Caenorhabditis elegans: one gene and its partner. The protein of the gene in region 1 purifies or fractionates together with the protein of each later gene. This does not show direct contact. Each region holds a gene or a part of one and is shown on either strand. Other genes may lie near its edges. The genes, in order: lro-1 and spp-5.

What was found.
Region 2: the proteins of lro-1 (region 1) and spp-5 fractionate together in Caenorhabditis elegans (co-fractionation; one large-scale study listed by BioGRID). This does not show direct contact.

What each region holds. Positions count from the first base shown.
Region 1 is NC_003284.9:6,266,020-6,279,295, reverse strand, and holds lro-1 (Lysosome-Related Organelle protein), read right to left. Parts: upstream 7,208-13,276; 5' UTR 7,207-7,207; coding exon 6,943-7,206; intron 6,896-6,942; coding exon 6,764-6,895; intron 6,723-6,763; coding exon 6,636-6,722; intron 6,515-6,635; coding exon 6,278-6,514; intron 6,230-6,277; coding exon 6,134-6,229; intron 6,090-6,133; coding exon 5,905-6,089; intron 5,855-5,904; coding exon 5,611-5,854; 3' UTR 5,528-5,610; downstream 1-5,527. Other genes in the region: W05H9.2 (Dynein heavy chain 7, axonemal), read right to left, coding at 8,632-9,535, 10,076-10,443, 10,489-10,987, 11,041-11,528, 11,589-11,805, 12,168-12,247; W05H9.4 (ANK_REP_REGION domain-containing protein), read right to left, coding at 12,663-13,276.
Region 2 is NC_003284.9:7,313,613-7,325,610, forward strand, and holds spp-5 (Saposin B-type domain-containing protein), read right to left. Parts: upstream 6,743-11,998; 5' UTR 6,742-6,742; coding exon 6,589-6,741; intron 6,541-6,588; coding exon 6,382-6,540; 3' UTR 6,325-6,381; downstream 1-6,324. Other genes in the region: spp-3 (Saposin B-type domain-containing protein), read right to left, coding at 1,393-1,548, 1,591-1,737; spp-2 (Saposin B-type domain-containing protein), read right to left, coding at 2,485-2,547, 2,880-3,131; spp-6 (Saposin B-type domain-containing protein), read left to right, coding at 3,729-3,941, 3,991-4,050; spp-4 (Saposin B-type domain-containing protein), read right to left, coding at 4,732-4,890, 4,991-5,143; T08A9.13 (uncharacterized protein), read right to left, coding at 8,387-8,641, 8,689-8,796.

The DNA of each region.
Region 1 (13,276 bases):
AATACGGCAGCGGCCACCAATGCTGTTGGCTAAACTTGGATTGAGTCACTTGTCTAAATTCCAAATTAATTTTCAATTCGATTTTCAATCATCAAATGTTGAAATTTTTAATTAACTTTTGCATTCAAAGTTCAGATATCTTCTAGAATTATACTTAAAAAATCTACATTCCATTCTCTTTTTCTTCATTTTTTACTACCGATGAATATTTCTGGATGTGTTGTCGCATGCCGCACAAATTAGCCGTGAACATCAGATGCTACAGTATTTCTTTTGCCGGGAAAGCCAATAGCAAGGACAAGACTTTTGCCGTCTGAGGCTTTAAATTAATAAGAATACATCATCACCAATTTCCAAGCGACCGGATTAAAAAGTGCGAACGGTTTGGTCTTGGGGTAGAAGCTTTTGTGAGAAGCGAACACTTAGGGATTAACAGATCATTGTCTCTTTTCCGTTGAATTTTAAAAGGTGGTGAATTCGCTTTCTAGCTTCAGCTGGGAAAACACTTTTCAGAAATTATTCAGTAACGCGATCAACGTCATCGCATCTCAAAAAAGTGTTCCGTTGGAGAAGAATGCCATTGACGCTACACTTCCTGCGACGAATACATTTATTCTTTTCAACATTCAAATTTCCTCATTTTTATTCAATAGTGCAAGGAGATGAGAAGCCAGAAAAAACTGTTGTAACACAATCCCTCAAAAGTGGAAAACGATAAATCACAAAATCTGCGAAAGGTCGAATATTCAAAGAAAAAGCCGTGCGCCCAGGCGGCTTCTTCATTGTTTTCTATTTTCCTCTCTGCCACACTCGACTCATCACACAAAAGCCCGTTTCTTACACAGTTTTTTTGGGTTGCCTGGTGGTAGTGCCGTTTGACGTCTAATTATCATTTTGTGAAAGGAGGAAATGTGGACGCTCATGTATCGAATAAATAAGGAAACACACAGTGAATGTGAATGGTAAAGAAAGCAAATGAGTAAAAAAAAACGGAAGAAAAAATAACATCCCTCGCGGTGTCTTCTTCCCATCGCCAAAAAGAGCTTTCACTTGTTTCCACTTGCTGGCACCTATTTTCCAATTTTCCAGAAAGCGCTGTAAACATGTATAACATATGCAGTCATAAATACAGTATTGTTAGAAGATGGCTCCAATGGAAATCTGTACAATGGAAGTTCCAATGGAAGTTGTAATACAAAAGCAAGTCAAGTTTTTCTTTCCGATTTTGAGTGTAGTTTGATAATTGATTTTAAACCCACTTAAGGTGTATTAATACACATTTAATTGTTCAAAATAATCAAAAATCATAGTTGAACACTGTAAAAACGTTTAGATTTTTCTAGTCAACGTTTTGATATAAATTATCAAATTATTAAATAATTACGGTAATTGTTGCAGGTATAGGGAAAGCTCGTAGAATAATTTTTTCTTGGTGGACTTCCAGAATCACGATTGGTAAAAACTGAGTAATTACCACTTTGGAAATTTAACATATTTTTCGTATCTCATTGTGGAACTCATTAAAGTACACTTAAACAACATATCTCAATCTTTAAAAAATATGTATTCTCTCCAATGATAACTTTTTCAGTTTTCAAGATATTAAACAGTGTATTGATTCATTTATCAACTTTCAAACCAAAGCTCAAAAACTCAAATTCCAAGTTTTCCATCCTGGCACAGAAGTCACCTAGTTAACCTGATTTTCAACAATTTGTTCATTCATTTAAACCTTAAAACGTCAATGACCTGATTTTATCAACATTTGTACCCATACAAGTCAAATTCAAATATGCAGTTGTCTATCTCGATCTTAATTCACTGCCTCCTCCAAGGTCGGCAGTGCCCGTAATCATGTTTACGTTTTTATGTGACAGTTGTTGGGGAGGTACTACTAGCTTTGATGTAATTGGTACCAAGGTTGGTCAACTTGCTAGCCGAAGACAGAAAATAAACAGTGAACGATGTTTTAACTTTAATGCCCGTATCCAATTCTTACAACAGTAGTCCATCATTAAATAAACAAGTGCCCCAAAAACAATCACAACAAACAAAATACACACAAGAATTTCAATGTTGTGTAATCAAGATGACATTTCGAGGAATTAATTTTTCTTAGCGATAAAAAAGGAAAATCCATTATCTCCGCATTCTTTGGTCTTTCAGCTCATTTATATTCCGTTTCACATTTCAATGTCAAACGTGTGTGTTTTCTGCAAGAAAACTCAGTGGGATATCGTTTTTATTTCTGGGAACGAAACACAGATAAAAAATATCCTTTATTGTTCATTTTGCCCTGGCTTGGGAATGTAATCTGTGTCTTTTGTGGTTTAACTTGACAACAAAACTCAAAGAAGGAATAACCTTTCAAGTATGACAAGAGAAACCCAACGTCATACATTATTCATAGAATCCTTCCCTCTCATTAGAAAATTCAAACAAGGAGTTGACGAGCGAAAGCGATCAGCCCATCATTTGCAATCATTTCACACGGGGCCGGTCCTGGCAGATTTTTTTGGTGGAAGAAACAACAATGCAAACCAATTAATGGGCCATTAGGTCCAATCGATCACAAGCAACAATATTGTCGCAGGAACTTGTGTGGGCGTTCAAAAAGTGCGATTATTTTGGTGATTAATATTCGAATGCATAAATAATTCAGACTTTCACATTAAAATTGATAAATGTGAACTAAAACCTTTTTTTCAGACATTTTCAAATTCAAGTTTTGTTGTTATCTTCAAAGATCGGTAGTATAGAGGGAAGAAGTTTGGAATGTGGAAATATATTATTAAAATATAGAGGGTAATAGAAGATCAATTTGTTTTTCAAAAAATCATCTTTCAAATTGACGAAACTACACATTAGAATAAATATTTTGTGGACCTATGTAACAAAATTTAACCTTTTTCACGTTTTCTGAGCAAATTAACTTAGCGGTAATGGGCAAATATTTTTTTGGCAAAATCGGCAAATTTTGATTATGCAATTTTTGTTGGAAATTTATAAATTTCGATATGAAACTGCGAAATCGAACCCATCCTCTACATTTTTGAATAAGCGAATAAAGTTGGAAAACTCAACCAAAAATCGAAATAAACCGAACAACTGTTTAAAACATGTACTGCATGTGCTTTTGCTCATCAAAAATTTTTTTTTGGCCAGTTCAGCATTTTTCTGTGAATGAGAAATTATACTTTTTATGCTCAAAGAAAGGCTTCTGGTGATGGGCTTGTCGGGACCGTTTTTATCCTTTCAGAACAAACATTTCCAGTCTGAAATTCTGAAATTGGAAATACTATTAAGTCAATTTTCGTAACGATTGTAAATACATTGCAAACACATTGCATACATTGCATAAGACATGACATGTATAAAATATTAGAATGACAAGTATACAAATTTTCTCGTTTTGAAATCAGTTGAACTTTTTCAAATATCTTCCAGAAATTCTTCGATTTGAAATTTCTAATTTCTGATTTTTAATATTTGCAGATTGATAGATTACTTGCAATATCTCTTTTTCACAGTATACATACATTTGAACGTTTATTCTACAAATGAGATCTATCAGTTATTTCTTGTAATATTGAAGATTGCCTTGATGACGATCACAGGCAAGAAAACGGTTAACTTCCTGTTATTACATACCTCCGTTACAACCCTAGTATCCGCCACCCATAAAAAAGGGTTTCAATCATTTTTCAAGGTTACGTTTAGATTCAACTATCAGAATTAACCAAGTTTCATGAATCTGTGTTTCGGTGTGATCTGATTTATTTTTGAGTAAATCAAACACCGTAAGTTGTTTCTGTCTACTACCCGCTTTCATTGGCTGTCGGTCACTCATCTTTTAAAACAAGGGAAACCGAAGTTGTGTTAGAGTGAAGGAAATGTTATTTCTTTTTTCTTTCATTCCATCGTTGATAGTTTTTCGTAGTTTTTGCAAATGCCCAACACAAGACAAAAACTAAGACGGTGGCCGTCAAATAGAACTGATATCAAGAACAAAAAAAGATGCATCGTACTCAGAAAATGGAAAAATAGAAGGCAAGGCCACAGAAGTCGTTCCGAATTTATGTTTCTCATGTCGGAAGAAGAATTTGTTTGACGAGTAGTACTACTACATAGGAATACCAAGAATCGAGTAATTGGAACTGTTTTTACAAATAGCTATGTCAAAGTCTGACGTGATCAAGAACGTTATCGACCTTGTATGTCGAAATTGAAATCTTTTCAATTTTAGGGAACAATAAAATGGAACAAAACTTATTTACACGAAAAAAAAAAAGGTTTAAAAAAATTTAAGCGCTAGTATTTCCAGATAAAGCTTACCGTATTTTTTCTTTTAGTCTTGCATAGACTTTTAGTCTTGCAATACTAATTTTCAATTTGTCCGTAGGGGCGCAAGACTAATAGAGACTACAATACTGATAGAGGCTGCAAGACTAATTTTCGATTGGCTTGTAAGGGTGCAAGGCTAATAGGGGTGCACAACTAATAGAGACAGTAAAACTAATAGAGGATATAACATGTGTTCTATTGAAATAATCAAAAATGAATTTTAAGATGGTGAAACAAGTAGATATAAAAAACTATACTCAAATGCTAATAGGTTTCTAAGTATTACAAAATCTACCTACAATGCTTCTGAAAAAAAGATCCCTCTGAACGTATTTTCGAGTTCAAATTACATATTGTTTCAGTCATTTTATTCAACGTGCAACAATCCATAATAATCATAATAATAAAAGGGCAACCACAAGTCACAACTGATTATATTTTTAGATGTCTATCATCTAGTTTGTAGTGATTTCTTAATGTTTCTATGATTTCTTAAACAGACTGATCACATGCTTGGGAACTGCTCATCGAGCAGAATAATATGACGATAATTTACGTCATTAAAGTACAAAAAAAAATACAAACTATAACCAAAATCGTACAGTTCAGTTATAATCGAATTTGGTTTTCGGCTGTCAAGTCTCAAGTCTCCGATTGCGGAAGTTATTTTGTAATTTGACGAGTTAATAATGGCAAAGGTAAAGCAGCACCAATGAGAAATTCGAGAAACTTTTCAGAAATGTTCTGAATTGTTTAAATTTACAGATGGAATGTGGCAGTTATTCGGTTTGCAAATATTAAACCTTTGGAATTCGACAAAAGTTTTTTGAAAAACGGAAATTTTGTTTTAAAATTTGTCATCCCACCAAAAATGTTTTGAATTTTTTCAATGCGTTTTTTTCGCTGCATGTAAGATTAATGTAAATGAGTTTAAACAACGTGCATACGGCAACGTGCATTGCCTTTAAAACATTCCAAAATCAAAACTTTCATTAAAAACTTCCGTTGAGATTGTTTAGAAAATTGGTTCCCTTCTTAATTTTCAATACATATGTATTCTTGAAATTATTTATTTCGTTTTTTGAAAATGTTTGAAGTTGACGTGGCATTATAATTTTTGGTTCCCAAATTTTAACACTAACAGGCTCCCTTAATTTGTTTTGTTTTTAATAATAACCAGGATCAATCAAAAAATTTATACGTGAAAAATGGCAAAACAATGTGCAAACAATTTTATAATACAATCACATGGTTATCGAACAAAGTTTAAAACTGCTGTTCTTCTTTGGCAGGAGCCAGTGGTAGAGCAGTTATTGGAGTTGCTGGTGGTGGAAGAAGTGGGGCTCTTTCTGATGTTGGATTGTAAACCTGGTTGTTGCCGTCGAGCCGTTCGTAGACAGAGCGTTGTTTGACTTGATAAACAATGATAATGATTAAGGCGATTGAAAGAAGGATGCACAGAGCAAGAAGAACCCAGGTTACAGTCTCCCATGCAGCTTTTCCGGTGATTCTGAAAATCGTGATTTAGGTATTTCTCGATGCTAATAGTAAGTAACTAACTCGTCAAGAATTGTTGCTTTCGGAGCAATATCAACGGGGATCTCATTAACCGGTGGTGGGGCTCCAGCTTGTTCAACTTTCTTCTCGTTCAAAACTTCTTTCAAGGCTGCCTTGTCAAGTTGACCCTGAAGCTTGTCCGAAATTTGGTTGGCCATCTTATCCTTAACACCTTGCCCGATTAGATCCTGATATCAAAAATTGCATGAAGACATTAAAATCCCTAAATTACCTGAATAAGATCCGAAAGTTCATCCTTCTTCTGCTCATATGTTTTTGCCTGATCACCAACATTCTTCCCCTGCTGCTCAATATCAGCAAGTTTATCCTGAAATCAAGATGGGAAATCAGTTGGAAGACATTGCCAAAAACTCACATTGATCTGTTGCTTTAAAGCTTCATGATTTTCTCTTTGTTCGCCAAGCCGTTGATTTTTCTCGTCAACGCGACGCTTCACCTCAGCAGTTACCAGCTCTTTGACTTGAGCCAAATCGGTTTTCAATTCCTCCAGTTTCTGTTTTCTTCTTTCATCAAGCTTTTGTTTGGCTGCATCGATTTGTTGCTTCAACTCTTCTCTTTGTTGTTGAAGCTTCTCAGAGGCTTGCTTCCATTTCTAGAATAAGATGAGCATTTATAAAGAAAAACCAAGTAGTAGTTAGTAATATCTTAATACAAATAAAGCGTCATTACTTCAAATTCTTATTTCAATTTTTTAAATAAATTGTGATTTATACCTCAATTTGCTCCTGCCTCTGTGCTTCTTTTTCTTCTTGTTTTTGCTTGATTTTGTCCGTAAAAGTTTTCACAAAATCATCAATTTTCTGAAATAATAATCCAAAAAATTTAAAATTTAAATAGTAACCTGTTGTTTTTCTTGCTCCTTGGCTTGTTTCTTTTCCTTAACTGACTCGACGAATTCTCCAACTTGTTGAGAAACCTCCTTCCATTTCTCGATCGCTGCTTCGGCTTCCTTTTTCTTGGCTTCAGCTTTTTCCTGAAAAAAATCATAAGAAAACTGATATTTAAATTTTGATTTGTGACCTGTTTCTCCTTTTCCAATTCATCGGCTCTCTGCTTAACTGCATCAGATACCTTTGAAAGCGTTTCGTTCAGTTTCTTCTGAGTCTCTTCCCGGTATTTGTCTCTTGCTGCTCTCGCATTTTCAAAATTAACTCTCAGTTCTTCTTCCAATGCCTTTTCCGTATCAATTACTGACTGGAAGGTGTCAGCAAGGGAGTAGTAGCGAACGGATGAAACGCTCGACGCAAAAAAGACAAGCAGCAGTGCAACTGAGAATGTTCTCATTCTAAAATGTTAATGATAAAAATCAATACAGAACTTATCAAATTGTAAAAAGAAAAACCCAGAGTGACTGTTCAACTGTCAGACAAAAAGAAAAGAGCCACCAATTGTGTGGGGTATCTTATCAATTGACTGATAGTTGGCTACAAATTAACGTCCGCCCAGTATGTTGTTGATGATGGAGAACGAGCAAATAAACACAATGACAATTAGAATCATAAGATTGATCTGAAATTGGTGTCTTTCATAATGAGCATGCTCGTGATACAAACTTGGAATTTATGTCAATATAATTTTGAGCTTGTTGTGCAAATAGGAAATTTCAAATCAATTTTTGAAAAGTTTTGCATTTGCTCATTTCTAAAAAGTGCATGACAAAGGCCGTAATTGTTGGATGTTGGATACCGTTTGCTATTTCAAAAATTACCTATTAATTTGAGGTTTGAGACATTTGAACTTGAATACTGAGCATTCTGATATAAAAAACATCTATTCGATTTAAAATCTTCAGAAATTTTGAAACTTTATATTTTCGGCAATGCTCATTTTCGGGCCCAAATTGCCGAAATTACTAATGAAATTACATTAGCAGTTGCAGCACTTTTCAGGTTCAAACAAAACATTCCGAAACTTGGCACGCGAGTTGAAGCCTGTTAACTTTAATTCACCAGTTTTAAGTTTGCACAATGTGAAAAAATGTGAATATGTTGATACACTGAAAACATAAGAAAAATTTTGACATAAATTACTTGAAGTCAATAAATTATTGAAAACTAATCTTGCTAATCCTAAATGAACTGCTTATTTCAGATCGAAAACTGACTTATTTTAACTTTTCTTAATATCCATTCGAACTAAAAATAAACGTGTCATGTGAATTAGTTCTAATTCGAGACTTGTAAAATATTTTACAGTCAGAATATTCAACTTTCAATATAACTCCACATTTCCAAACTGATCAAGAATTAGTAACAAGAATTAGTAATAAACATCTGAATTTATGAATTTCCGACGTAATAAATTTATTTTTGCATTCTATTTCAAAGTAATAACAAATCATTTTTGGGGTACCAAAAACTTGATTCGTAAATCGTACTTCAGTGCGCCAAACACTTTGGAACGTTGACCAATGGATGTTGTCATGAAACAATGGGAAAGAGTATGGAACAAAAGAGGAAATGATAATAAAAAGCTCACTAGGTCTTTGGTTTCAATAAGCCTAACCGGACAATATAAAATTAGACACATTTGAAGATGGGGGTGTATGATGAGTTTGGAAATGTGGTATCCGATAAAATTATACGTCTACAAATTTCGTGGGGAATTATGGTAAATTTTTTGAGCATGAAATACGTTGTGATGAGATTTTGAGGAAACAAAAGAATGTAGAACAAAAACAAAATGATATTCAATCAGCGAAAAAAGATATTAATCAAGTGGGATATTCAAATATGGTGCAGACATATCCGGCTCCATGTGCACTCTGCGAACATTGCGAATGAAGTTATCAATCACGTCATCTGGAACGCGATCGTCTTCTACGTCACCTTCATTCTCCACGAAGATGACATTTCCATTCATAGAAAACGTATTGAGAAGGAATGCAACTCTGGCGGCCTCCTCGGGATCAAATTGACGCTCAACGCCGTCCTCCTCTTCTTCATCTTCCTCTTCATCTTCATCATCATCATCGCTTTCCAATTCTACATTTCGTCTAACCCGACGACGTCCGACATTTGGTCCTTCATCTGTTGCGTAATCCGATCCGGTTTCCGAGCCAGTCTCTTCAGATTCTCTACCCTCTTCGGAGCCTTCAGCTGTGTCTTCTGGAAGATCGTCTTCTGGAATTGGTGTTGGAGTTCTTACACGGCATCTAGACGGCGGGTTCTTCATGTTGTTACACACATAATCCATGTAAGTCCCAGCCATCATTCTGGCAATTCTGTGAGCAAGGTAAGCTGTTTGCATTTTAGTTTGATATCTGATTCTAGAATTTGTGAGATCAATTTCTTGAATGAGAATCTGCGAGAACTGAGCCGCAAGTTGTTTGTAAGTCTGCCCATTGATGCGTTGAAAATGCATTTCTGCGTGGAACTCTGCTTCCAATGTTGCTCGGATCTCAACGCAGTGTGGTACGCCGCGATACTTGTCCATGATATGATGAATTCCGTTGATAATTTCGACACCCGCACGAAACTCTGGCTCAGGGTTCATCCAGTCGAGTTCTGATGCGGCAATTACTTCCTTCACTTTTTCTCGATCAACATGATCGTCAAAGTTTGAAACGAAGGCACAGATTCCAGGTACTTTGTTCAGCTGGAACATGACTCCACTGAAAAAAAATTCCATTAACATTCAATTATTATTATTATTCTAACACCGATGAAAAGAGGAGTATTAGTTCTGGGTATTTTAGAAACAAAATGTGCTCAAATAAAAACATTTTCCGTGTTGCAGACGAGCGAATTTGATTTTTTTGTTTTATCATCTTTCATTGCATATTTTGGGTGTATTTCTCACTATATTTTGTAAATTAAAGTACATACAATGCCGATTGGAATCCAGTTTTGGTACTTTTTGGATACCCATCGGTTTTAAATGCTTTAAATAACTTGAGATAAACGCCCAAAGTATGCAATAATGAAGGATAACTTAATACAAGCAAAATTCGGACAGTTGTGACGCGGGAAATTTGGCAAAAGGAGATATTAGCTTAATTTAGGCCATTTAATTTTTTCAGATATTTGTGAGAAATGCAATTTTGAAACTAGTTGATTTTGGTTTTTTGAATCATCTGCCTATCTGTGCAACCAAAAAATCCAGAACCTATCCTCCTCTTTTAATATCCTATCTCCGATGAAAAATAACTTACTCTATCTTTGGCCATAAAAGTTCGGCAGCTTTTGCGAAATGAATTTCCTTATTCAAACGTTTCAACTCCTTTTTTTGTTGTCTCAGATGCCACAACATTCGAGAAGCATGGTGCATCACAATGGGAGGGAATTCGTTTTCCGAAATGGTCAACTCAAATCTGATTTTTTTCAATGCAGCTTCATCGTGATCCGGTTCGACAAAAACGCCGTGGTTGATAGACTCTTTCTTAATGTAGAAATTTTTGACGGCATTGTGTACTTTGACTCGAAGAACTTCAAGTTTTCCAGAGATTTCCTTGTCCATGTCGTCATTTCGGCAACGCTCCACTGTCGTGATTTTGAGAAGTTGTGCCGCTGTGAGTAATACCTAAAATTTGAAACAAAATTCACCTCATGAACCCATTATTCTCACCGATTCTGGCACGCATTCGCCATATATTCCTTTTTCCTTGTCAACGAATAGAGCATAAACTCTCTGAATAACAAGCAACAATGCGTCAATCGAAGCCATGACCGCAATAAAACGAAGCTTTGGTTTAATGTTGAAAGGTTCACAATGAGTGATTTGATCCATGGTGCTCTTCTTCTTATTTCGCACAACACCACACAACTCGTTAAATTGCTCCATCTTCTGGATATACAATACTGCCCTTGTCTTGTCAAGGCCTCTCTCTTTCTTCAAGATTTTCAAAATCCTGCAAAAGTCTTGGCGAAGCTTTGTCTCGTTGGTTTGAAGTGCTTTGTCAAGCAAGTTCGCGTTGTCAGCTGATTGTGGGAATGGAATTCGGAGATTCTTCAAAAAGCCAAGTTCTTCCTTTCGTTTAGAAGCTACAATGACAGCACGATAGTAGGAAAGTTCAAGCTGCTGCATTCTGTCAATAGCGAGAAATTTCATGAATGGAAAGTGATATCTGAAAAATGTTTTAATAAAAGTTAACCTTTATATAGTTTTTATGCAACATACTTTCCAGAGACAACTGTTCCGCTCAGCCACTCATAGTCAAACGGATTATATCTATCAGAAATTTCCTGAGGAGGCTCAACTATTTTCTTCTTCTGACGCATTGGCGTCACGATGCTGAAATGGTCCCGTAGAGCGTCAACAATGCGGTCACGAATGTAGAGAAGAAACGAAAAGTTTGAAATATCTGCGATCCCGTTGTTATGAGCTTTTTGAACTGTTTCAAAGTAGTCATGAAAGATGTCAATCAATTGGCAGGGAATAAACGAATGAATTCCGTTCTGATATTCGGTTTCCATGACAGTGCCAATCCAATGAAACATCTCTGTGTAAGTGATCAGAAAATTGACATAATTCGCATAGTCCAGTCGTTTGTTGAGCTCAGGAACTTTGGACCACAAATCATCAGTAAGATTTTGAATGTTATCAGCGAGTTGAGCTCGTTTTTCGGCATAGTTTTTGCTTATGAAAAGACATTGATCAAATGTGACCTGAAATGATGTTCAATTTATTTTCCAATCAAAATATTGGCTTTGTGCTCAGCAACTCGCCCTTCTCTCCAAAATCGATATCTTGAAATAGTCTTGAAATTCATCCACAGTTTCAAATTTTGGAACTTCCTCAAAACTGTTTGGCTTCATGAATCGGGCCAGTCTCTGGCTATCCCTGCAATTCTTTTCCAAGTTGCTCATTGTGCAGCTCAATCCGACGACGGTATCAATTCGGCGAATTTCTTCATGGATAAAAATATCTTGGTTGATCAAATTTCTGAAAATTGGTACATATAATGGGTGTCTTTTGATGTGAATAAATATCTATTTTATTTTATTTTTTTACATCTCATAGAAAATTTTGATCGGAAATGCTCTCACTGCAATTTATCATTATTTCCAAAAGTATAATTGCTCAAAAAAACAATTTTTTTAAGATTTGCCATGAGAAGCTAAACTTCCCGGGTTTTTTTCAGAAAGTTTTCAAAACGCTACAAATTTTCAAGACAATTTTCAACTTCTAAAAAAAAACAGTTTTTGAAACAATTCGACAAGATATTAAGTGAAAATTACGCAAAAAAATCAGATCACAGCTTAAAAGGGATGTTTTTTAACATGAAACTTTACAAAAAAACTTACAAACTAAATGCCTGTTCCTCTGGTCTCACTCCATTTGAGGGATCAGGACTGGATGCTGCTTGAGCATCTTCTGGAGTCATTACTACCTGAAATAACCTATCCTATTTTAAAACTGAATGAAGCATACAAAAACGAAAGTTCAAAAATATAAACGAATCGATATATAAATGGGAATAAGGCCATGCTTTAAGAAAATACATAATTTAAATTAAATTCCGCACAATTCTTTTTATTAAAAAGAGCTGAACAGGACGGGATAGATTAAACTGGGGTAACGGGTGCACATAGAAAAACAGTATTGAATTAACAGTAAAACTAGTAATCAGATGACAATTCACTTTAGAAAAAAACCTGAACAAAATCAATAAAGATGATTTTTACTGTAAAAGATCATTTCGAGAGAGGCAAGGGAATGATTGCACAGCATGAAGGAGAGAGAAAGATGAGAATAAGTTATGATTAACTAAATTACTGGTTTTCCAATTTGAAACATGTTTAATCAAGTGGCAAATTGTATAATGATGCAGACAAATCCGGAATCATCCCAAGATTTACATGAAAGACGCCGTGAATGAACTCATCGACCATATCATCGGGTACTTGATCGCGATCTTCGATAACCAGTGTAGTTGGGTCCTCGACTTCAGTATCATTCTCAGATCCAATAGAAACGGCTCCCAGAGAAACTTCTCCAAACATCTTGCTCAACAAATTCTCTCCAGTGTTTTGATCTCCATCCACCTCGTCGTCTTCATCTTCCAACTCAGTGTCGTATTCTTCGTCACTGTACGGGTTACAGTTCGGATCTTGGCGTCGGGCCAGTGGTGGTTCAGGCAGATCGAAATGGTTTGTACGTTTCTTTATGTAATCCATGTAGAACTCCATAATTTCACTTATCATTTTCTTCGCGGTCGCTGTAGATCCTTTCTGGTATTTGTACTTCTTGCGAAGGTTGTTGAAATCAATTTCAGCGTTGACAATTTCCGCAAATTGGTAAGCCATTTCGTTAAAACTGAAATCGTCAATAATCCGAGTACCGAACGCTTCTTTGAAAGCAACCGCAAACTCGTGATTAATTTCCGCAATTGAAGGCACGCATTTCTTCTCGT
Region 2 (11,998 bases), 1.0 Mb from region 1:
AAATACGTTTCATTTCAGATTCGAATTGTCCCAGTTTTCGATGAGAATGCGCACGTTGGTCAAGGCTGCTTATTTTCTTAACTTATTTTCGACTTCAAAACTGTGAAACCCGAATCTTTAGAAAGAACACTGAAACTTTGAAGGCTAGAAATTCCGGCGAGGTGAGTGGTCATGCTTCAGCTCCCAAATATCCAGATTTTCAGCTTTGCGGATCATAGCAAAATCAGTTGCTACACTGCACACTTCGAGTCTTGTGTACCAGCTTGCCGCCAGTATTTCTCCAACATTCTCATTTGCCGCCGTGAACTCGCATCATTTCAGTTGTATTATGTGTCGGGCCCCCAAAATTGAGAACTCTCTTTGAACACAACTATTTTAACAATCACCTCGTGGTGAAGCTGAATGGAAAACTAATTGGCTTCGAGGGAAATGTTTTTCAGTTGCCGAGGACAGAGATTTGGATGGAATCGTCATCGGCAAAATTAATCAGTTTAATCTGGAAAAGGTGAGAGCTCCTTCAAGGTACACGAAGATCTAACGGTCTATGATCCAAGGGTATATCGAAATAGAGTGCATCGAGAAATTTTTTGTTGTTGTGATACAACGGCCGGTTCGTTCTAAGGGTACATCCATGGTACATCTATTCAACTTCAGTAAATATGAGGAAGCGTCGATTATCTGCTGGGATGTTCAACTCTCCACCCGTTCATGCTGTCAAAACTCTGAAAGGATCCCAAATCAGTGGCGGAGAGCCTTGGCCTCCCCACGAAAGAAAGACGGATGTACCATCTCAGCAAACCAGATGTATGTACCTTAAGCATGATTGAACTTCCTGAACGAGTGTACCCACAATCCGATGTACCCTTGGATCATGGGCCACCGCTAACGAATTTAACGTAGATAGAGTATTGAGCATTTTATCCAAATAGTGTAAAAATAGAAGGAGTTGCTTTGAAATCTTTTTTAGGTCAGAAATCAATGATTAAAATTCACGAAAATATAATTTTACTTCCAGATCTTCTCCCTGCCTTACGTGTGCTTCATTAAAATGGCATGAATTACTCGTGACACAATTATGGACATGAATCTCACACGGAATCTCACTCGGCTCACGCTTATGTTTACCAAACTAAACGCTCTGGACGTGAACATGTTAATCAAACACTGGGCGTACGGAAACTGGAATGACTTGCAAATCATGGAGGTTTGTGCCAATCAAAGAGATAGTTTCGATACAAGACTGATAAAGACGTCGTGCTAATAGTGAGCATAGGGTCATACATAATATGTAGCAAATTCATGTTATAAAATTTTCTATGAAACTAAACATTGTTGGGAATTAATTGCCATTACTTTAGTAGAATGAATTTATTAAAATCATCTGATTTTTATTTAACACATTCCAAGCTTGGTGCAGACGTCAGATGGAGCAGTTCCGTTCTCGAGTTCGTGAATGATTGGGTCGAGCTTGGTGTCAATGAACTTTTTGCACTCTTGAGTTCCGAATGGAATGCTGTGGAATTCCTTCTTGCATTCAGCGTCGACGGCCTATATTTGATATTTTACAAAAAATATTAAAGAAAAAACTACCTTCTTAATTGATTCAGTGTCTTCTCCAAGCATTGGAACAACAATCTTGACAGACATCTTGCACATCTCACATTCAATTCCATTAGCCTCTGTCGATGAGAAAAAAACGGCAAGAGTAACGGCGGCAAGAAGGATATAAGTTTTCATAGTTCTGAAAAATTATAAATAGTTAAATTGGATATTACATGAAAAATATTGAAAAGAAATTAAAAATGATGATAATTTGTAATGATGATTTAATTTTATAACACATGAAGACTACTGAAAACCACTTATCATTATGACCAAACCCTCGTGGAAAAAATGAGCTCACTCGGCAATTGTTTGATAAGAAACGTTTTGCTATTCCATTTGATCACGGATGTGTTTTACGACAGTCTTGATATTGAAAGAGCAAACCAATAAGAAAATAGGTCAGAGTACAAACATACAGTAAAACTGTTGTGGATAGTATCAATTAATAGTATTTATATATATAGGAGATCAAAATTTTGGTATTTGTGGTTACGTAAAAGACAACACTTAAAAAGGTACTCAAAATATTGCTGAAAAGTTTTAACTTAACTAATCAAACTCGTACTACTTTTTCCTAATTTACCTTTTGTAACGTTTTTTGCCGATATAATTTTTTTCATGCATATAGATCAAGTCTAACTAAATCTAACTAACTAATTAAGCAAGATGCGAACCTAAAACTATTACTTTTATTATTTATGTGTATGTTTTGTTGTCAACTTATGTTTCAAATCCGCGATTGAAAATAATTACTTCGGAAATTAGGAAAATTAGAAATAATACTGAAAATATTTATTGCCAATTGAAAAAATTTCATTTATTATAAAAATTATATTTATTACATAATCGTACATCAATCAAAACATAATTGTATATCCATTACTTTGGACATTCTCCAAGTTTCTTGCACACATCCTTTGGTGCAGTTCCGCTTTCAAGCTCCTGAAACATATTTTTTAATTGGGAGGTAATTTAAATGTAAAAGTATCGTTAGTGAGGATTTGGTCTGATTATACTTTAAAAATCTGACATAACGTAAGTATGTAATAAAACACATTTTAGAAATAATTCTCGGTTCTTTAAAATTTTGGTTAAAATGTCAAGCTTGTTCCACCGCAAATAGCTGTACTCCAAATTGTTCAAATTTAGGAAAAGTGAAAGTATGCTGTTTATTTATATCATAATACTAAAGATAAATCTTAAAGGTTGTTAATATAGACTAGTCGGATGAACTGAAATCTACTCAGACTTGTTACAAATATTTGAATAATTACCTTGATGATAGGGTCCAGCTTCTCGTTCACATAATGTTCACACTCCTGTGGAGCAAATGGAATCGCGTGGAAAAGTTTCTTGCACTCGGTGTCGAAATCTTTCTTGATACTTGTCACGTCCTTATCCGCAGATCCATCATAAGTCTTCACAGCAAGTTCACACATTTGGCATCCCAACGAGCTTCTTTCTTTTGGAAGAACAACGCAGAGAGCAACGGCTGCAACAGCAGCAAGCACAAGTACAGTCTTCATACTATACACACTGTTTGAACAGAGAAGTTCAAATTGATGCAACGACAACTTAACTTTTATACTGTTGAGCGAATCACGTGAATAGCGGATTTAAATTCCTGATTGTTTATGATTGGTTAGTTTTCAAGATAATACGGCATTATGATTACAAAATCAAAATGTAGCTTAAACAATATTTAGTGATCACGAGGTCTTGTGTTTCGGAGAATCATAACTGAAACACCAAGTTTACATTCACTTTGATGCTGAATTTCGGTCCCTCACTATCATTTAATAAGTTCTATTCAAATGTTCATGATTTGTGGCTACTGATAAATTGTTCCGTGTATCAAAAATGCGTGACTTCGTTAACTATTATATTGTCCTGTTTGAAAGTGTGCGATAAAATATTATGATGAAAGTTTCTGCGAAATTTTGAAGGGTTGAAACACATCAGATATATAGATAATCTATGTGTAACACATTTTCCTATTTGGTTTTGAATTGAAAATGAGATATTTCAATAAACAATAATAAATATATCACTTTTCAATATTCTTATCTGACTGCAAAAAAGCATGATTTTCCGTAAAAAACCGTGACTTCCGTGATCTTTGTATGACTTGTATGACTGGGTTGAGACAACGCAATGCCTTAGACTGCGAGATGTGCAAACTTGCGGTGAAAAGTGCCGATGGAGATGCTGACAAAGACACCAACGACATCAAAAAGGATTTCGATGCAAAATGTAAAAAGGCATTCCACTCGATTCAGTTTGCGCCACGAGAGTGTGAGCATTACGTCGATAAAAAGCTGGATCCAATCATTAAAGTAAGTAGAACATATTTTAATGATGAAATATGAAGAACTATTATTTCAGGAGCTCGAAAGTGGAACATCTCCAAAAGATGTTTGCACAAAACTTGGCGAGTGTTCATAAACTTTTATGCCATTTCAAAACTGAAAATTGGTACTGAATAAAGCATGCAAAATTTCAATCAATCTGAAGTTATTTATTGATTTTAAGCTTCACTCAATGTAGAGATAACAAGGTTTTTATCAAAATTTTTTTTTAATCGCAAGTATTTAATTACCGTATTTCTTCTATTAATATGGCTGCAATACTATTTTTCGAATGATCTTCCCGGTTTGCAATAATAATAGGGAGTGCAAGACTGATAGGGAGTGCAATACTAAATAAATTTTTTTTTCACGAATTGTTGCAAAAAAAAGCAAAAAATGATGTTAAAAACCTAAAATTATTTAGGCGGGTTTGTACCAAAAAAAAATCAAAAATTTATTAACTTTTGTTCATAGGTAAAGCTCCTCGCGTTTTCATTTTCATTGTCCAATAAATTTCATGTTAGAATAAGTGTCAATCAGGCGTGTGCGGCTGACTGATTTTTCGGGTGTCGACTAGTACAGCCAGCCAATAAAGTTAGGCAAATCTAGCAAATTTCTTCAAAATTTGTTAGTTTGTTAAAAATGTTCACGAGCCGAAAAGCAACGAACATTTGTCAGTCGGCTGTTGGCTGGCGCTATCAGCCAAAAACCTCTCTAAAACTGATTTATTAAATTGTTTAAAAATAAGTTCTCCGGTTCAATTATAACACGTCAATGTTTATGGGCATTCGTGGAGCTTTGTGCACACATCCTTTGGAGCAGTTCCGCTTTCGAGCTCCTTGATAATGGGGTCAAGCTTGGTGTTTACATAGTGTTCACATTCTTGTGGGGCAAATGGAATAGAGTGGAACAGTTTCTTGCACTCGGTGTCAAAGTCCTGGAAAAAACTTCCTATTCTATATAGTTGCTAATTTATCTGAGAAACACTACATGATGATGTCATTCTAGTAGCAAAAAGTATATAATAAAATCCTGACCTTCTTGATACCATTTACATCCTTGTCAACGGAGCCGTCGTACTTCTTGACGGCAAGCTCGCACATTTGACATCCCAGGGAATTTCTTTGGTGTGGAAGCACGACGGCGGTGGCTACGAAAACCAAAACGGCTAGCACAAGAAGAGTCTTCATACTGCAAAATGAAACTGCTTGAATGAAATTAGGAATTGAAAATAATCTAAATTATCTATCTGGCACGTGTGACGCAGGTTATTTTATATCGGCACTCAAGCCTGATTATCTCGTTTTCTGATAAGCAGCGTATTCAAATGGGAATTATGTTTTTGATCGTTGTCGATTTTAGTTTGATTGCCGGAACAATTGCCGGTACAACCGGAGGAAAACAGTTTATAGAACGGAGTACGTCAGAAGCAATGCGGGTACATTTTTAGTTCCCATTTACATTTACTGCAAGTACGTATACCGTTTTCCTATTTCTCCTTTCATCCCGCTTTTCAGAAAAATATTTTAAATTTAATTTCGGAGTTTTCAACTTTGTAACAAATCACATAATTTGCTATAAAACAAAAATTAAAAATTCACGTTAGTGTAAACCCGTGTGATTTGTGACTAGTTTTGAATTACGGAAAAAAACATAAATTATTTTCTGCTCAATTACGTGAACAAATGTATTATGCATACGACTTCCTACATTAAACAAATTTTTTTCAGACTCCCTCTGTCTTTTTGAAGGAATTCGATGACTTTTTGATCTATTGAACTTAATTTTCTGTTGTATCCGTAGATAAACGGAATATTATGTGATTTCACGTGATCACAGTTTCGATAATTGTGAAAAAGTTACAGGTATTATATATTGCAAATCATCAAGACGCGGCACTTCCCTGAAATTGTATGTTGTTATCTGTAAAAATTAGGTGTCCAGGGCAGGACAATTTCACAAAGAAAACTTATCAAACCAAACTCCTAATGTGTCAAAAAAGTATCAAAGGTTTTGAAAAAAGTGTACTCATTTTTCGCTGTTCAATCAATAATTGTGCGCGAAAAGCTTTCAAGCTTCAAGATAATTCTAGAAACTCAAGAAAAGCTTGCAACGAGCTTTCAGCGTTTCAAGCAATAACAGTCACGTGTACATGGTGTGCAGACCGGGCAAGTTCCAAACTCTAAAATCATAATGATACACATTTTTTCAATTGTTCCCCACTCTCCTGGATTGAAGCTTTTTGGATTACAGTCCTTATCAGTACTATTATGATTCGTTATTAGACTTGAGGCCCTTTCTAAAAAATAAGGTCCAATACATTTCTGGTCACAATTATTCTATATTTATCAAAATTCTGGTTGAAACTTTTAAAAATCGAAAATTTATTGGTAAAAGTTTCAAACAAGTAAAAATTTCAATGATCCGTTTATGGGCATTCGTTAAGCTTGGTGCACACATCCTTTGGAGCGGTTCCTCCTTCCAGCTCGTGAATGATTGGGTCTACCTTGCTGTTGACGTAATGATCGCATTCTCTGGTTCCGAATGGGATGGTGTGGAAAAGCTTCTTGCATTCAGCATCGAAATCCTAGAATATTCAAGAGTTGTTGGTTTTTTTCTAGCACGGATTTATTACCTTCTTGATGACATTGGCATCCTTATCGGCGGATCCTTCGTATTTCTTGACAACCAACTCACACATTTGACAGCTCAATGCGCTTCTATTTTCTGGGATGGCAAGTCCTGAGGCAACGGCGACCAAAACGGCTAGTACAAGAAGAGTCTTCATTCTGTAATAAAATAAATTGAAATGAAACACTGAAGCATCAAAACGCAAGGAAGAATTGAAAGAGCACGCGGTGATAGGGGCGCATTTATAGCAAAAACTTCCCAATTTTGATTACTTGACCATTTGATAAGAAGCAGCGTCGAAAGCGGAGAGCATAATGTATGGAATAGAAAAAAGGTTACAGATCGACAACATATGCATTAAACTCGTGATAAATAGGAAAATTGTCCGGCTTGCAGGAATGTACTAAACATTTATACTATGTTGCAATGCATGATAACTGTTTTTTAACGATCCAGATGTATGACATTTAGAATAACGTCAACTTACGTTGTTATTTGTAAATATATTTAAACTTTCTTTGGATAGAACGAGTAGGTAATGTACAAATATAAACTCGTTTATGATCAATTTTTTGCGAACTTTCAAGTTAATATAAACATTTAGTATTATTGCCACGCCACGACATAAACATGAATTTAAAAAATTAATGAAACTATATTTTGAATATATAACTGTTTTCGAGTAAAAATACCACAAAGTAAGAGAAGTAGGTGTTTATTTTTTTCCAGAAATATATTACTGTTTCGGCGGTAGTATTTAGTTTCCACAACGTTTCAGTGTTTTATTCCGCTCTGATGTTCATCTGGAAAAATAATGTTGTTCAACTTATTCAATTTTGTAAGACTGCAAAAATAGTCATCAAATAAGTTTAGATTCATAGTAAGTAAAAGTTGTTTAACAAAATAGTGTCCACTAGATTTACCGAGAGGTTCGAGGCAATGGATTAGTTTTAGATAAAACTTTATTGTTTCTGAAAATTATGAAAGGACTTGTGGCATTTGTATTCGGAGCGGTTTGAAACAACATTTAATATTTTTTTGCAACTATATCTTTGAACGTGAGGTTATTCATTCCGTTTCAGATTTTCCCGCATAGACTGTTTCTATTAACTTCCCTAGAAACCTAAGATCCTTTGTATGATATTATAACCGATTTATGACTCAATATCGCATAACTCTAACAAAAAACTTATCATGTGGTAACATTCAAAATATTCGCACATTGTCTAGCTTTAAGAGTCAAAATTAATTCACTCCCTATGGGAAAAGTGTTGATATAATTTTTCATTTCCTTGTCTTTGCTTCTGATCTCCCATTGTGAATAGGGAATTCAAAATTTTCAATCGAAGTTTTGGTAACTGGCCTTTTTTAAGTAAATTTTTTGAAAAAAAAATGGAAGCGATGCAGCAGGTTTAAAATTTCTATATTGGTCAATGACAACTATTTAAAACATGGTTAAAAATTGGCGAAAATTCAAAAAAACATGTTTTGGCCGACTTACAAAAGTATAGTCATATTTAACTGAGTTTTCAACCAATATCATCGAACTAACTGCTCATAGATAATTTTTTTCTAACGTTTTGCGTTTTGATATTGGGTCATTTTAACAACATATAAATGCTTTTAAAGATTTTCCCAAATAATGATATTTTGCTTTGAAATGTTGGACAGACAATGTACCAAGACCATGTCAGAATTAAGACAATGCAACAATGTTCATATGGAAAGACTGCATCAGATTGAGACCTATTAATTATAAAATTTCAATAATTTAGAAATTTTAACAGACAAATCAATTATTTTCACTTTGTCAGTTCCTCGCCTTTGGCTCCCATAATTACACGTGCATCCATCACAGCTTGAGAAGCTTTTTGTGCAGCAATAATGGCTTTAGCTATTTTCTTTTTGGTGAGCGTCTCGTTTTCTTTCCGTTCTTGTTCCGTCAATGTTGGGATTTTTTTCAGTACATCGTATTGGTCAAGAGCCTGTTGACATTCAACCCTAGTTCGTTGCTCGAGCTCCTTCGCTTTTTGAAGCTTTTCCAGTTCTGCGTTTCTCTGAAAAACTGTTTTTAAAGTTCAAATAATTCTGATTCGAAAATTACGAGTTCTGCTGTTCGTCTGGCATGTGGGTCGGTAATATTGTCTACTGGAATTGGTGCAGTGCTGACGCTTGGCCGTGAGGATTCAAGAAACCGAAGTGGCATTGGCATTTTGACTGAAATTTGAGATGGTAAAAAGAGAACTTACTTTTTTGCATTGCACAGATCAAAAATTAAAAAAAAAACAACAAAAAAGGCACAGAGCAGAAGTTTACATATAAATGAAACCATGGAGATCTTTGCCAAAGTCGCGTTTTATAAAAGTGACTTTTATGCATCATAAAGTCGGAACGAAAATTGATGAATGGGGTTTGATTTTCACACACACTGAGCGACTAATAAACTAATAGTTCAAGAGAGCAATATCGCTGGGGCAGTTTAAGAAGCGTTTTTTATGTTTCTAATCCGGATCTGCATCTCTGAAAATCACGTGCTGGAACGAAACTGCAATTGGAGCTGATGTTAGATGTGAATACATTGACATTAAAAAAAAAATACTAGATAGAACAAAATTCAGACTTTTTAAAGTTCATGTTAATGACTGATGTGAAGAATGAGCAAAGATGAATGAGTTTTGCATGAAAAGGGATTAGTACTTGTGAATGAGAGTTATCGCATTGGTTTTTGAACGTTTTTAATTAATTCTTAAGCATTGAATATCAACAAGACGAGTAAGGTTTTTGTTCTGAAACTTCACAGTGCTTGTTTTTTTTAAATTTAGAAGAATTAAGTTAGGATAGTGAAAACTAAAAAGTAAGTAAAGTTGTTCTAACCCTAAAGAATTTTTAAACCAAGCAGGTGGAAAAATTACAATATAAAACATTACAGCATGATACTTACATATAATTTTAATGACCTTGTTTTGAAATATTAATGTTTCGACCCTTAGTAGTCAAAATTAAAATGAGCAAAACGCTGAAAAAAACATCCTGAATAACTCTGCGTCATTATTAATTCTGCCACTTCACTCATTTTGTATCTGATGTTTGTTCACGCTTCGTGGATTGACTGATCATTCGGAAAGATATGCTAAACATGATTCATGAAGATAAAGTGGGTCCTGAGGATAGAAGTGAAATTTTATTTCGAATTTAAAATTGAATTTTTTATTAATGTAATGCTGCTTTCAAAAATTTCAAAAGAATCGTTCAAAAGCTAATGAAGTATTACGAAATGCTCAAAATCGTTTCCAACGTGATTGCAGACTAACGTATATGAACTTCAAATTAAAAAAAAAATCGGAAACGTGATTCGAGTAGGTGAATGAAACACCATTTCCTTTTCCAGACATAGTTTTGTTATTATTATAATTACTATGAGTGGCTGGGCAAATGAAAAGGTTTGATTTCTAGTCAACCAATGATCACCTTTCGTGAATGGACACAATCGTTATCAGTGGGAAAATATAAATTAGCGGCCGTGACATGAGTGCTAATCAAATGCCAACGTTTGTCAGGGGGTATAGCTCAGTGGTAGAGCGCTCCCTTAGCATGGGAGAGGGCTGGGGTTCAATTCCCCATACCTCCAAAACATTTTTCCTCAAAATAGTATCGAATGTTCAAGTTTTGATTTTGGTACAAGGAAAACATAAACGTTTCTCAAAAGCAAACTGGAGAGCAATATATTAGTGTCAAATTTCGATGAATTGACTAATGCTATGTAGATTCAACCGAGCATTCACAAAAATTTGGTGTGTTTTCTCCCGCGTAGCATCATTAGAAATAGACAATAAATGAGGACAGTAGAGGCCAGACAAACTAATGTGAGAGAAGGGGACACGAGTGTCAGAACGAGGGGATGCTGAGAATAGACGAGAACAGATGGGAAACAGTTGATAAACCGATGATTCGATCCTCATACACACTTTTTCTTTTCACAAACAGAGGGAATATTTTGAACAAAAAATATTTACTCGTTGTTTTGGAGTGTCAAGTTCATAATGCAACAAAGCGTTTGGTGAAATGATATAAACCAACATCACTCACTCTCTCGTGATTTGAAAAGTTATTATTTCTCTGGGAAAAAATAACTCGTGTGTCTTACGTAAGCTGGGAAGCTGTGCGGAGTTTCTATGGGAATAATTACACAAGGAAACCAAATTGTGCTGACCAGTAACTCAGATCAAGTAAAAATTACGTCGCAAAGATAAATACCGTATTTTCCCTATTAGTATTGCAGGAAAAACTATTTTCAATTGGTTATTTTGATTACAATACTAATGGGGACGCAATTTATTTAGGGATGAAAAGCCTATTAGGGAAGCCATTCTAAAAATGAACGTTAATTTTTGAACTATGCTTTTCATTTACAAAAACCAAAAATTATCAAGAACTTTAAATAAATTTACGTGTGCCGCAAATTTTACCTGAGTATAAAAACGAATTCACTAACTAGGGAATGGTCAGCTTAGGGGTGAGGTACCTAGAGACGCCACATATGCCAAACGGAAGCTGAGATCATTGGCTACAAGAATATGCTTTCAAATTCTGCAACGGACCTCTGGGAGTCTGGAAATTCTTGTCTGAAATTATGCTTTTGAATGCTCGAAAGTGGTAAGAATTTAGAATTTATTACAGAAAAACGTGAAGTTGAATACCTAGAAAAGATGAAAATGTGTTTTGATACAGTGCATACAGTACTTGTTTCAAGTATAAAACTAATTTTATTAATTAAACGTTTTCTGTAATAAATTCTAAATTCTTACCACTTTCGAGCATTCAAAAGCATAATTTCAGACAAGAATTTCCAGACTCCCAGAGGTCCGTTGCAGAATTTGAAAGCATATTCTTGTAGCCAATGATCTCAGCTTCCGTTTGGCATATGTGGCGTCTCTAGGTACCTCACCCCTAAGCTGACCATTCCCTAGTAAATAAAACCATTTTTCAGAATGTGCAAACACTTGGTGTTTTGAACTTCAATTTTGTTTCTTAGCACTTTGATCAAAAGTTTTATAGTTATCATTATAATAGTGTTGAAAGCTTAATGTTTTAATTGGCTTTAAACAAAAAAACTACACAAAAAACAAGAATTATTGAAGCTTAGAAATTTCTTAAAATCAAGGTTGTTTACTGAAATTCCAAATTTTATGAGCTGCAGACTACAATATCATTTGCGATGCATATGGAAATTGCTTAAAACGTTAACAAATATTAAAACAAATATCAAATACAACATTATATTTTACACAAATAGCCCAAAATAATTTATTAAATAATTCATATTTGAAGTTACCCCATCAGTTTTCCCAATATTCTCCATTCCATCAAAATTCTCCATTAAATTTTTTTGAATATGAAATAGTAATTGAACATTA